3 linked regions of the Oryctolagus cuniculus genome follow. The protein of the gene in region 1 interacts with the protein of each later gene in a pairwise test. Links are inferred from orthologs where the notes say so. Each region holds a gene or a part of one and is shown in the gene's direction. Other genes may lie near its edges. The genes, in order: RBPMS, TUSC2 and small EDRK-rich factor 2.

Region 1 (4,642 bases):
CAGGGGCCCAGGGCCATCTTCTGCTTTCCCAGGCACGTTAGCAGGGAGCTGGGTCGGAAGCAGGGTAGCTGCATTCGGATACAGGATGCCAGCAGCTTAACCTGCTGTGCCTGAATCTTGTCTTTTAACAGTGTCAGTGGTTGGTTTTGTTGAATGTGATTGGTTTTTGCTGAACTGCAATAATAGGATCAAGGGTAATTGGCAATTACTGTTCCCTTTGGCCTGTGTAATCTTTCTGCAGCCAGCAAGCCAACTCTAATCAAAGTCAGAGCTTTGCTACAGCAAGGCATTTAGATTTTATATGAGTTTATAAGCTAACTGGAATCAAAGGACATTTGTTACATTGAAATCTGACAGCCATTTCATTCCTGTCTCCTGAGGAACGCAGAGTACTTGTGTTACCGTTATAAAGTTCCGTGATTAGACAGGGGGTGGGAATCTTGTTCTCCACCTATAGGCAATGAAGAGCACTGAGAAATTAACTCTGTTGTCCTTCAGTGTGTGGACGCCGGTGGCCGCCCCAGCCTCCTGGATACCAGGTGTCAGAGCTACACAGTACTTCGTTCTCGTGGGATCAGTCACAGTTTTCATTCTTGCTGGTGGCCAGTTCCTCAAAGTTGTTAATGGTGCTAGGAATTTGCTGACCCAAAATTTGAAAATTGAACCAGAAAGGTGTTTTTTTTTGTTTTGTTTTTTGTTTTTTTTTGTCTCCCAGAAAAAAGGAGTTTGTTGAAAATCCCGGTAACTGAAGTTTGTAATTAAGCTGAATTCCTTGATTTTTCTGGACCCTCCGTGCTGTGCATTTTTGTGTATTTCCCTGAAAGCGGTGAGAGTGAGAGCTCTCCTTGGCCTTTTTTTTTTAGGGACAGGCCAGGGTGTGCTGGTGTGTTTATTTTGTCACCAATCCGGTTTGACGCGAAGGAAATGAAAACATCTCCCATTTGTTCTTTATTTCCAAAGGGCATCCGCTTCGATCCTGAAATACCGCAAACACTACGACTCGAGTTTGCTAAGGCAAACACGAAGATGGCCAAGAACAAACTAGTAGGGACTCCAAACCCCAGCACTCCTCTGCCCAACACTGTACCTCAGTTCATCGCCAGAGAGCCGTGTAAGTGGATCCACTTTTATTTTGGGAAGAGAAGCCAGGGGTTGTGCACGGGCTGCTGTGTGTGAGGTGACTCCTTGGGCGTGGAGTCTCCTGTCCTCTCCGCCTGTCTGAGTTCCAAACCCAGCATTCTTGTCGTGACCGGCTGCCCCGGAGAGGGTGTGGCCTGAGCAGAACCCATACCCTGAAACTCGCGCTTGCTGTGCAGTGGGTTTCCCGAGTGTGATGCTGACCACTGTGAGTCCGCCCCTGTTTGCTTTGCGGTAGGAATCCTCTGTTCCCCCGCTCCTTGGACGTCGGAGCTGGTGCTCAGCATTCACTTTTCTCCTTGTGTTCAAAGGCATCAGTTCTGTGTCTATCAAAAGTGAAAGAGGTGGGGCCGCCATGGTGGCAGAGCAGGTTAAGCCACCGCCAGCAGTGCCAGCATCCCATACAAGCACTGCTCCGCTTCTGATCCAGCTCCCTGCTAACGCGTCTGGGAAAGCAGCAGCAGATAGCCCAAGTGCTAGTGCCCCTGATGTGGCCATTTCGGGAGCGAACCAGCAGATAGAAGATTTCTCTCTTACCAATTTGCCTTTCAAATAAATGGGGGAAAAAAGTGAAAGAGGCGGGTCTTAGGAGATTCTGTTTTTGAGAACAGTTTAGCCATAACTCTCAGGGGAAAAGTAATCACACACAAAGAATCCCTGTAGTTGAACAGTTAGTTCTGGTGGACTAACACTAGCAAAGCCTTAAGGAAATTCAGGGCTTCCTGTTTTAAATGAACCGGGTAAGGACGCTGGCTAATTGCTAAGCCTTAATGAGCTGCTTCAGCCGAATGGCCAGACCACGGCATTGGCCTTTGAATAGCTTATCTTCGTTTTCCTTTTCAGTTTGCGGAGTCCCGCGTGGCCTGCTGGGGCAGGGCACCCCAGGAAGCCCGCGTGACTTGTCGTTAGCGGCCACGTCTCTGTCTCACCTTGCAGATCCTCCTGCTGAGCCATGTGAATACGGTCATCTTCCCGCTCTCCCTGAGGACACATTTCAGCTCTCCGTGTTGAGATTGAAGGGCTCCTGTCAGAGTTAATCAGGTCATGGTGGAAGTTAGTCACTCTGAGCTCACTTGGTCTTTTAAAAGCCTGAGTGTGTCAGTGGAGAGTCATAGATAAGAGCTTCTCCCCCAGCGCGTTTTAACATAAAAGTTAGAAAAATCAGTTTGTTCTTCCACGTTGTAGGGAAACTTGAGACCTCTTGGAGAAGGAAGTCTAAACAAAAGTTGCATTTCGTAGTGCCGCTGCCATACAGGGGATTACCCGGCATTCCTTACATAAGTCTTCAAGGGGTAGCCCAGTGCTTTGTATATTGTCTATATTTAATACTGGTGGATTACACTGAGTAGATAAATTGAGATTTAGATTTGGCTGTTTATAGAACTAAGGAGACATTTGTCTACTTCTTTATTTTCTCTCTTGAGCAAGGCATTAGATGGGTATTTTTTTAAGATATGTACTTTTTTATTTTACTTAAAAGGCAGACATAGCAAGAGAGAGATCTTCCATCTGCTGGTTCACTCCCCAAATGGCCTCAACGGCCAAGGCTGTACCAGGCCAAAGCCAGGAGCCCAAAGCTTCTTCCAGGTCTCCCACGTGGGTGGCAGGGGTCCAACCACTTGGGCCATCTTCCACTGCTTTCCCAGGCACATTAGCAGGGAGCTAGATCAGAAGTGGAGCAGCCAGGACTTGAACAGGTGCCCATATGGGATGCAGGTGGTGCGGACGGTGGCTTAACCTGCTACACAACGATGCTCTGCCTAGAAAAGAGTATTTTTAGAACGCCTTCAGTTAGAGAAGTTAACCTGGAGTAAGTCTTTTCTTTTTTAGTGAATTTGCCTGCATCAGATTTCTGAGACCTTTGAAGAGATTGGTTCAGACAGAAAGGGGAGCAGTAGCGAACCTGAAATGTTATCCTTTCCTTTGCTGCTTTTCTTTTCAAAATGTCAGAAGTCTCTTGGATCTGCTGGCGAAGCCCTGTGCAGTAGGCAGGCAGGGGAGACAGCAGCTGGTTCAAGGCAGCGCGTACAGAAGCTGCCAGGTGAACGCACTGCCCGCCCGCAGGTGCCTGCCGTGGAACCGGAGCGAGGGGCAGAGCCCCAGTGCTGCCCACCCCACCCCCCACCCTCCCCTGCACTCGGAGCAGCCCAGGAACGGTCTGCTCGGTGCCTGGGCAGTGGCAAAAGCTCCCTGGCTCCTCCTAGCACGACAGACTTGAGGGAAAAGGGAGGAAATACAGACAGCTCACAGTATCTTCTCGAGAAAATAAAGCGAGTGTGATTTCTCTCAGTATAGCTCCTTTTCATGACATAGAGGCCCTGATCAGCAACCCCGCTGTGACTCAGAGCAGCCTTATCGGCCGTCTGCATTCCTCCTGGGGATTGCCACACTCCATGTCACACGCACAGACAAGTGGCTTTCCTGGAGGCACAGCAGGGCGAGACCACCGTGATGGGTCCCCGTGGGCCCGTCGGGTTGCCCAGTGCACACGATCGGCACTCGGGGTGCTTAGTTGATCCCCTGTCAGCTGTGGTCTGTGAGGGAATCCCACAGTCCTAGGACTGACAGAGCCCTGAATTCAGGCTTCTCCATTCTGGGCCACAGGAGAAGTTTCTCCGAATGCGGCTGCTTGTTAGTGTTGTCATTCGGTAGTGACTGCAGAGCGCTCTTTGCCATCCTTCAAGGGAGAAAGAACACTCTGTGACTCGGCTGTCCAACAAGCAGTCGCTCGAGCTTACGTGAGCATCCAGGGTGCTAGACCCTGGAGAAGAAGGAGACTCGCCGATGCCATGACAGCGTTTAGTCCAAGGAGCCAGTGATGCTCCCTAGAGAAAACCTTGGCCCCGCATAAAGGACACAGATTCTGCAGTGTAGTCTGTCTCCCAGACTGCACTGGCGTGTTTGCTGAGCGCATCCTCCGCCAAGCTTGAAGGGGGATGGAACCAGGTGCTGGAACTTCCCGGGCTGCATGGCGGCCTTCCGTGGAGAGCCTGGGCTTTAGGCTGGAAGCTGTCAAGGAGGCTTTGGCTCTGCATGCTAGTCACAAACTTCTCAGCCTATCATGAAAATGTTTAACCTTGCTGTGCGCCCGTTCCCGCCCCCTGTAAAATGCAAATAATATTTTCCTCATGGGATTGGAGAACTAAGTGAAGCAGTATCTTAGGCTTGCACTGAAGACGACGCAGGCCTACTGTGTGTCGTGTACCAGTGCATGTGTGCTGTGCAGTGCCGCTTAGTTAGAGCGGGTGTTGGTCTTCTGAGGGGTCGTCATCGTGTCACTGTAGCCATTTGTGTTTGCAAGGATGGCCGAAATGCACCTGCAGTCCCCAGACGGCAGTTCTGCCTTCCTAGCTACGTTGCTGTTCATTTGAGCTTCACCTCATGCTCTTTCGTATGTAATACAGTTTGGAGAAAGCAGTCGGTAAGGGATGCGGGAAAATGTTGGAGGAGCTGACTTCTTGTAACCCAGGGAGCTCGTGTTCTGTAGCCAAAAAACTCTGCTTTA
Region 2 (4,742 bases), on another chromosome or scaffold:
CAAGCCCAAGGAGCCAGGAAGAGCTGTCCTGGTGCTGTGGAAAACCCGATGGAGCTAGGAAGCCCCCACCCCCCACCCATCCCTCAGGCGTTACGACTGCTTGCCTGGAGTCTTTATGGCTCCCAGGTTTGGGGCCCATGGAGAAAAGCCTGCTTGGGTGCCGGTTTGGTCAGGTCTGGCTTCTGTTTGACAGCTGGTGGGCTTCTCGTGCAGGCTGTTTGGGCACGAGACTCCTGGGGGAACACCTGATGCCAGCAGGTGCGGCCCGGGGTCCGGGTCCTCCCTGGGGCGGCTGCAGCTGCTGGAGCCTGTGCTCTGCCCTCTGCAGTGGGACGCCTTCAGCATGCCCGAGCTGCACAACTTCCTGCGCATCCTGCAGCGCGAGGAGGAGGAGCACCTCCGCCGGATCCTGCAGAAGTACTCCCGCTGCCGGCAGAAGATCCAGGAGGCCCTGCACGCCTGCCCCGTGGGGTGACCGTGACCCCTGGATGGCAGGAGAGTAGGCAGCGCCCAGCGTGTGCTGTGTGAGTGTGACCGGGCCCCTGGGGCCTGAGGCGTGAGTGCGGGGGGAGGCCCTGCCCTGGGGAGAAGGAGCCGAGCCGACAGCCGAGGGGCTGGCCCCGTGTCCAGCAGCGGGTTTAGCGGGGCCTGGCTTTGCAGCCCTCAGCCCGTCCTGTACTGGGTTGGAGGGAGCCAGGGCTGCCCTAGGCTTGTAGCAGGGGCGGAACAGACAGAAGTTGCCTTAATTTGAGTCTCAAAGATGAGACTTTTGGGGACCTTGCAGACCACACAAGGTCATGTTTGCAGGGGTGAGGGCCTTCATCTATGGGGGCTCAGAAAAAGCAGGTATCCAGGAAGAGTCCACGGTTCCTTCTGGGGGGCCTTCCGACTCCTCCCACACCTGAGGTCAGGGAGTGCTGGCGCCCAGTGCTGTGACAGTGCCTCGGTGCCTCCGCGCGGGAGGCTGGCCCTGGAGCAGGGTCTGCGTGAATGTGGGCACGGGGCCAGGACCGTACCTGTGTGCAGGTCAAAGCCGGGGTCTCCCCTTCAGGTATTTCCGATGGAGTGTGTGAATGTATGTCATGTTTGGTGGCCTCAGCCGAATGCCTCCTGTGGGGAATGGGGTGGGGGACAGTCGTCATCACGGCCTGAGAGAATTGGCTGAATAAAGATTTGCGGATCCTCTCGATTTTGGTGTCTTACTGTGGGCCCGCAGCTGCCACGGCGGATATACTGTCTCGGGGCAGCTTCTGAGAAGTCACACGGGACCAGTCCATGAAGGTTCGTGAGCATGGGTGTGTGCTCAGCCCTCACTTGGTCCCCCGGTTGGAGGAGGGCTGAAACCAGCTCCACCTGGAGCTGAGGGAAATCGCTTCTGGACGCATGCTAAGCGCAGGAAGACTGGCCTAGCCCTGCATCCGAGTAGGTACGGATCCGCTACTGTGGACCAGCTCACTGGTGCACAGTGCTTTCCGAAAGAATGAACGCTGGCGGTTGGGGAAGTAACACAAGTTCTTTAGACCTCAGTGTGTAGCAGTTTCTTCCTTTGTGCCAGTGGGGGTGGCAAAAACCAGGCACCCTGCAGCCCCGCCTAGAGCAGCTGGAAGGGATTCCGTGTCTGAGCGGGTTCTCCTATCTAAGCGCGCGGTGCGGCGCGGCGCGGGGCAGCGCTAGGGGTCTTCAGAGCCACATAGCACCGCCTCTTTCCTGGGAGGGAGTAGCCCCTGCTGCAGACAGCACGGCCTGCTGGGACCTGCGTCTCGCAGTGCATGCCGGGATGCCCAGCCCCAGCCAGCCGACAGCGGCCCTAATCCACGGACGGATGGGCGCAGCAGCCAATCAGAAGAGGGAGCGTGCGTGGCCGGCGGAAACGGAAGTGAGGTTTCCGTGGAGACAGCCGAGCCTGCGGAAGGCGGCGCCGGCGGTGGCACCTGCGAGCGGAGGCTGGGGCAGGGCATGGTGGCTCCCAGTGCACTGTGAGAGCTGAGCGGCCGCGGGGTCCGCCATGCGCCGGCGGCCCTGACATGGGCGCCACCGGCTCCAAAGCTCGGGGGCTGTGGCCCTTCGCCTCGGCGGCGGGGGGCGGCGGCCCGGAGGTGGCAGCGGCGGGTGCAGAGCAAGCTTTGGTGCGGCCTCGAGGCCGAACCGTGCCGCCCTTCGTATTCACGCGCCGCGGGTAAGGCCGTGGGTTCCACCCGGGGTGGGACAGGCCGGGGGGGACGGGCGTTCTGCGACGCGGGAACGCCCTCCGCTACAACACCCTACACCCAAACCAGGACAACTCCCAAATTGCGGGCCCCCGTCCAACCAGGGGTGGGGAAAGCCGGGCCAGTAGAATCTAATGGTCTGACCGCTCTTCCTGGGGGAGCGTAGGCTTGAGCCTTGGCTCTGCGTGGTCTGTCCACACGGGAAAGCTGAAGTAAGGCCTCTGTGAGACCTCAGGGCCTCTCCCTTTCATCCCTTCCAGTTCAGCGTGCAAGCTCAGAGCCCCTAGCCTCTCCCTCCCCCAGTTCTTCCAAGGGAGAATGACCTTCTGTTTAGACCGCGTACCTTCCGCAGGGGTGGGTACGCACTACTAAGGGTAGTTAGTGGCTGGGAAAGCAGGCCTGGACTTGTGTTGGGGCGTCAAGGTGAGGAAGAAAAAATTGACACCGGTTACGTTCTCCAGATACAGAGCACCGACCTAGGCCTGTCGCTTCCCTTAGGGGCCCAAACAGGGACACCAGATGGGCCTGGCCCCAGTTGGCTCCTGGAGACGGCCATTCTCCCTGATACGGACACACCAGTGGCCGTTGGGAAGCATCAGCCACTCGGTGGAACAGGCAGCAGGCTTCCCCCGTTTCTACTCCTTCCTAGCCCAGGCATCTGCTGGCTCAGCCCTTGGCACTGAGCCAGTAGTCTTTTCTGGAGTGACACCAACACGCCCAGGCCACCACCTCACCTACCTAGAAGTCACGCGTGAAGGCAAGGGCCACAATGGCTGGAGCTGGGCCAGTTTGAAGCCAGAAACCAGGAGTGTTTTCCGGTCTCCCACCTGGGTGCAGGGGCCCAAGCACTCGGGCTATGTCCTGCTGCTTTCCCAGGCACATTAGCCGGGAGTAGGATCAGAAGTGCAGCAGCCAGGACTCAAATTGGCACCCGTACGGGATGCTGGCGCTGCAGGCAGCAGGTTAACCATCAGGCCAAACCGCCGGCCCCCTCCACTCTCCTTCCAGCTCCATGTTCTACGATGAGGATGGGGACCTGGCTCACGAGTTCTATGAGGAGACAATCGTCACCAAGAATGGACAGAAGCGGGCCAAGCTGAGGCGGGTACATAAGAATCTGATTCCTCAGGTGAGGGGCTGGGCAGGGCCATGGAGCTCCATCAGGTGTGTGGAGGTAGACCCAGATGGGGCTCCTGGGGGAGGAGGTGGGAGGAACAGAAACGCTCTCTGGAGCGGAGCCCGGAGCTGCCCCTCACCAGCCTGTTTCCTCGGCAGGGCCTCGTGAAGCTGGACCCCCCTCGCATCCACGTGGACTTCCCCGTGATCCTCTATGAGGTGTGAGCCTGGGGAGTAGCAGACGCAAGTACCCCTGCCCCAGCAAGACACCCCAGGCTCAAGGTGCAGCTTCCAGTGAGGAGCCCAGGTGGGGCCACAGCCCTGAATAAACTGTTGGCCCAGCACCTTCAGCTGTGAGCAGGGCTGTGCAGTGTTGACTGGGAAATCGGGTTGTATGTGGAGCAGGTGGGTGGTGGCTGGCAAAGGCTACTTGTGGAGTTAGCAGCCCACCCTCCCCAGCCACTCCTGCAGGAAGCATGGCAGGGCGTCCACTGATCAGGAAAGCCTGGTGCCTGGTTCCTTGCCTGGCCTGCTTTCTTCCAAGCTTGCCCAGGGCCCAGCCCTGTTAGAAGCTACAGCACTTTATAAGCAAGATCTGCCTTCCTCCAGCCCCCGGGCTGTGGGGGCTACACAAGTGGGAGCTTCCTTCCCCGCACTTCCCTTCCCTCTAGTCGGAGCATTTCAGCCGTTTGCTACCTCGATTCCTCCTGTGTTGGACAGAGACTGGGGGCAGCACCAGCCCGATTCTTCCTGCCTACCTGCCACTTGTTCCCACCCTCGATGAACGGAGAGTTTGCAGGCTGTTGATAAGAATAGAGACTGATCCTTCCCCCCGCCCCCAGCTGAGAGCGCACAGGCCAGGGTGAGGAGGGGCTGCACCTGTGCCTGTGGGGAGTTGCCCAACCCACCTATTCTCATCCCCTCTGCCTTTGCAGCAGCCCCCCGACCCCCAAGTGGGAGGGGGCTGTTTACTACTCTGTGGTAAGGGACAAATCCCTAGGGCTGATCCCTGGTACAAGAGCTGTGAGTAACCCACCACCCCCTCGAAGCCCTGGACCTCTTCACGATCAGCAAGACTAAGTACTGGATAGAAAGGAGGGGAAACGCGCAAAGAAATACTTAAAATGTGAAGGTTTGTAAATAGTCTAGTCCAGAACGATGTTGGGGCAGAGTCTGGTTTCTCTAGAAAGATGACTTTTTTTTTTAATTCCTTACTGTGTGAGCTCTGTGCTTCCAGAGTGTGGGAAATGACTTGGGGAGGGTGGCGCCCAGCATTGGAAGACTGTTGTGTTATTTGTTCAAGTTCAATAAAGTTATTTGTAGATCCTGCACATGAGAATGGCGTCCTCAGGGGCGGGGACACCGGGTATCTACCACCTGGGAGGTCCCCTGTCTCCAGCAAGGACCCAAGGCAAACCT
Region 3 (3,424 bases), on another chromosome or scaffold:
CAAAGCCCCATGTGTGTCACTGTTACCACAACCTTCAAGTAGACAATGAGAGACAGATGGCAACAGGGACAGCGGAACCGCTCCCAGATATGGTCAAAGACAGAAGGGTCTGTATTTTAGAAATCTGTGAGCCTGAGGCGGGATGGGTGTGAAGAGACGCAGGTGCAGGTGGTCACAGCCGCACTGCTAGAGAGCAAACGCGGAGAGAGCAGTCAGAGACGAAGGACATGTTAACGCAGGGGGAGATGGCACCAGCGGCTGCTAACTCCTCCATTCCTCAGGAAAACATCTTTACAGGGCCAAAGGAAGAAAACGCCCTCTCTGCAGCTACTGAAAACAGCCTCCCAGAATGAGGCGAATAAGGACGTTTTCGGTGAATAAAATTAAGAAGACTCATTATCAGCACAGCGTCTGTAAGAAATGAAAAAGTTCCCGCTAAAGGAAAATACCCAGTGCGAGTGACAGTCAGACCTTTAGGAATGCGTGGCACTGGCAATGACCATGAGCTAGGTAATAGGAAAGACTATTTTCCTAATTTTCTTTAAAATACTTATGACTATTTGATTAACAGATTTGGGGGGCCAGCACTGTGGCACAGCGGGTTAAGCCACCATCTGCAGTGCTGGCGTCCCATATGGGCACCAGTGCAAGTCCTGGCTGCTCCACTTCCGATCCAGCTCCCTGCTGATGTTCCTGGGAAATCAGCGGAAGATGGCCCAAGTCCTTGGGCCCCTGCACCCACATGGGAGACCTGGATGAAGCTCCTGGGTTCATGTCGTCAGCCTGGCCAAACCCTGGCTGTGTGGCCATTTGGGGAGTGAACCAGAAGATCAAAGATTCTCTCTCTCTCTCTCTCTCTGTGTGTGTGTGTGTCTTTGATTCTTCTCTGTAACCCTTTCAAATAAATAAATAAATCTTTACAAAAATAAATAAAAATATGGGGCCGGCACTGTGGCATAACAGGTAAAGCCACCGCCTACAGTGCTGGCATCCCATACGGGTTCAAGTTCCAGCTGTTCCACTTCCGAACCAGCTCTCTGCTCTGGCCTGGGAAGGCAGCAGAAGATGGCCCAAGTCCTTGGGCCCCTGCACCCACATGGGAGACCTGGATGAGGCTCCTGGCTCCTGGCTTTGGATCGGCACAGCTTTGGCCTTTACAGCCAACTGGGGAATGAACCAGAGGACAGAAGACCTCTCTCTCTGCCTCTCTGCCTCTTCTCTGTGTAACTCTGACTTTCAAGTAAATAAATAAATCTTTAAAAATAAATAAATAAAAAGATTACCATAGATAAAAGGGGCATTTTTGTAATGATCAAAGTATCAGTTATTTAGGAAGCCATTCCAATGGTAAATGTCTACGTTCTAAATAACAGAGCCTCTGACTACATGTAGCAGAAGTCAAAAGGAGAAGAAAAACAGGCAATTTCACAATCCCAATAAGAGAATTGTAATCTGTATCTCTCTTCCTCTCTCTCTCCATCTCTCTCTCTCAGCAATTAATAGAACTAAACAAAAAGTCAATAAAAGACAAAAGGGTTGAATGACTTTATCAACCACCTTGTCTAACCCATTATAGAATATGACACTGTAAAATCTTAAGTGTGTATGGTGTGTTCACCAAGACAGGCCAGATGCAGCCCTCAAGAAATTAGGAAGGCGGGAGAGAACGAGGGGACGCAACGGAGGCAGGCCGGAGCCGCTGCCGTCGCCATGACCCGCGGTAACCAGCGTGAACTCGCCCGCCAGAATAATATGAAAAAGCAGAGCGACTCGGTTAAGGGAAAGCGCCGAGATGACGGGCTGTCTGCTGCCGCCCGCAAGCAGAGGGACTCGGAGATCATGCAGCAGAAGCAGAAAAAGGCAAACGAGAAGAAGGAGGAACCCAAGTAGCTTTGTGGCTTCGTGTCCAGCCCTCTTGCCCTTCGCCTGTCTGCCTGGAGCCAGTCCCACCATGCTCGCGTTTCCTCCTGTAGTGCTCACAGGTCCCAGCACCGATGGCATTCCCTTTGCCCTGAGTCTGCAGCGGGTCCCTTTTGTGCTTCCTTCCCCTCAGGTAGCCTCTCTCCCCCTGGGCCACTCCTGGGGGTGAGAGGGTTACCTCTTCCCAGTGTTTTTTATTCCTGTGGGGCACACCCCAAAGTATTAAAAGTAGCTTTGTAAAAAAAAAAAAAAGAAGAAGAAGAAAGAAAGAAAGAAAGAAAGAAAGAAATTAGGAAGGCATTAAAACCATACAAACTTTAAAATATGACCGCAATAAAGTTAAATTAGAAAGAGTTGTGGCACAGCGGGTCCGAGCTGCTGCCTGGGATGCCGGCATCTCATATTGGAGTGCTCGCTCAGGTCCCGCTACTCTGTGCTTCTGGTCCAGCTCTCTGCTGATGTGCCCAGGAGGCAGCAGATGGGAGCCTCAGCACGTGGGCTCCTGCCACGCACATGGGTGATCTGGATCGAGTTCCTGGCTCCTGGGTGCTGTGGTCATTTGGGGAGTGATACAGCGGATGGGAGATCTCTCTCTCTCTCCCCCCCCCTTCATTTCAAATAATAAATCTTTTTTTAAAAGATTTTATTTATCTGAGAGGTAGAGATACAGACAGTGAGAGGGAGAGACAGAGAGAAAGGTCTCCCATCCACTGGTTCACTCCCCAGATGGCCGCAATGGCTGGAGCTGCGCCGATCTGAAGCCAGGAGCCAGGAGCTTCCTCTGGGTCTCCTACATGGGTGCAGGGGCCCAAGGACTTGGGCCATCTTCTACTGCTTTCCCGGGCCACAGCAGAGAGCTGGACTGGAAGAGGAGTAGCCAGGACTAGAACCGGCGCCCATATGGGATGCTGGCGCCGCAGGTGGAGGATTAACCAGTGAGCCACGGAGCTGGCCCCCAAATAATAAATCTCTTTTTTTTTTAAATTGCAAGCCAGGGACAGGGAAATATATTTGAGAGCAGAGTAGAAGTTCACAGGCACGAACGTGAAGGCTTCTTGCCATGATGATGTTGCCGGAGGAAGCTGATCCTAAGGAGGAGGCTGGTCCAGACAAGCTCCCTGGAAAGAGCACCTGAACTCAGACCTCAATGATGAGATCCAAGAGAGAACCTCGAAAATTCACGGAGGTTGCATAGTCTGAAAAAAATAAACTATGTATGAGTTCCAAAAAAGTTCTTGCATCCAAATAATCTTTTAATTCCCTTTTGAAGTCCTCAAGGGAACAAATGAATGGGTTATAGGTTGAAGAGTGTCTCTCCGACAGGTGTTGGAGACCGCACACTATGACCTCCTCTGGCAGCGTGACCTCCACAGAGGTAAGAGGTCAAGGTGAGGCCAGAGCGGCTCAGAGCGCCTGCGGCTATGCAGGGGCCCTAGCACAGATCCGCAGGGGCAGCCCTCAGAGGAACCGACCCCCGAGACGCTTCGATTTTGGACTTGTGGCT

What was found.
Region 2: the proteins of RBPMS (region 1) and TUSC2 interact in binary tests that used the Homo sapiens proteins (3 or more experiments, as listed by UniProt). The link is inferred for Oryctolagus cuniculus from reciprocal best matches to the Homo sapiens genes RBPMS and TUSC2.
Region 3: the proteins of RBPMS (region 1) and small EDRK-rich factor 2 interact in a two-hybrid assay, tested with the Homo sapiens proteins (2 studies listed by BioGRID and IntAct). The two-hybrid records come from large-scale screens. The link is inferred for Oryctolagus cuniculus from reciprocal best matches to the Homo sapiens genes RBPMS and SERF2.

The regions. Positions count from the first base shown.
Region 1 is NC_091433.1:80,541,482-80,546,123, forward strand, and holds part of RBPMS (RNA-binding protein with multiple splicing), read left to right. Parts: intron 1-960; coding exon 961-1,111; intron 1,112-4,642.
Region 2 is NC_091441.1:98,988,273-98,993,014, forward strand, and holds TUSC2 (tumor suppressor candidate 2), read left to right. Parts: upstream 1-1,852; 5' UTR 1,853-2,024; coding exon 2,025-2,176; intron 2,177-3,215; coding exon 3,216-3,336; intron 3,337-3,482; coding exon 3,483-3,548; 3' UTR 3,549-4,654; downstream 4,655-4,742. Other genes in the region: RASSF1 (ras association domain-containing protein 1), read left to right, coding at 329-475. UniProt on the Homo sapiens protein: May function as a tumor suppressor, inhibiting colony formation, causing G1 arrest and ultimately inducing apoptosis in homozygous 3p21.3 120-kb region-deficient cells.
Region 3 is NC_091438.1:8,271,658-8,275,081, forward strand, and holds small EDRK-rich factor 2, read left to right. Parts: upstream 1-1,651; 5' UTR 1,652-1,710; coding exon 1,711-1,890; 3' UTR 1,891-2,209; downstream 2,210-3,424. UniProt on the Homo sapiens protein: Positive regulator of amyloid protein aggregation and proteotoxicity. Induces conformational changes in amyloid proteins, such as HTT, driving them into compact formations preceding the formation of aggregates.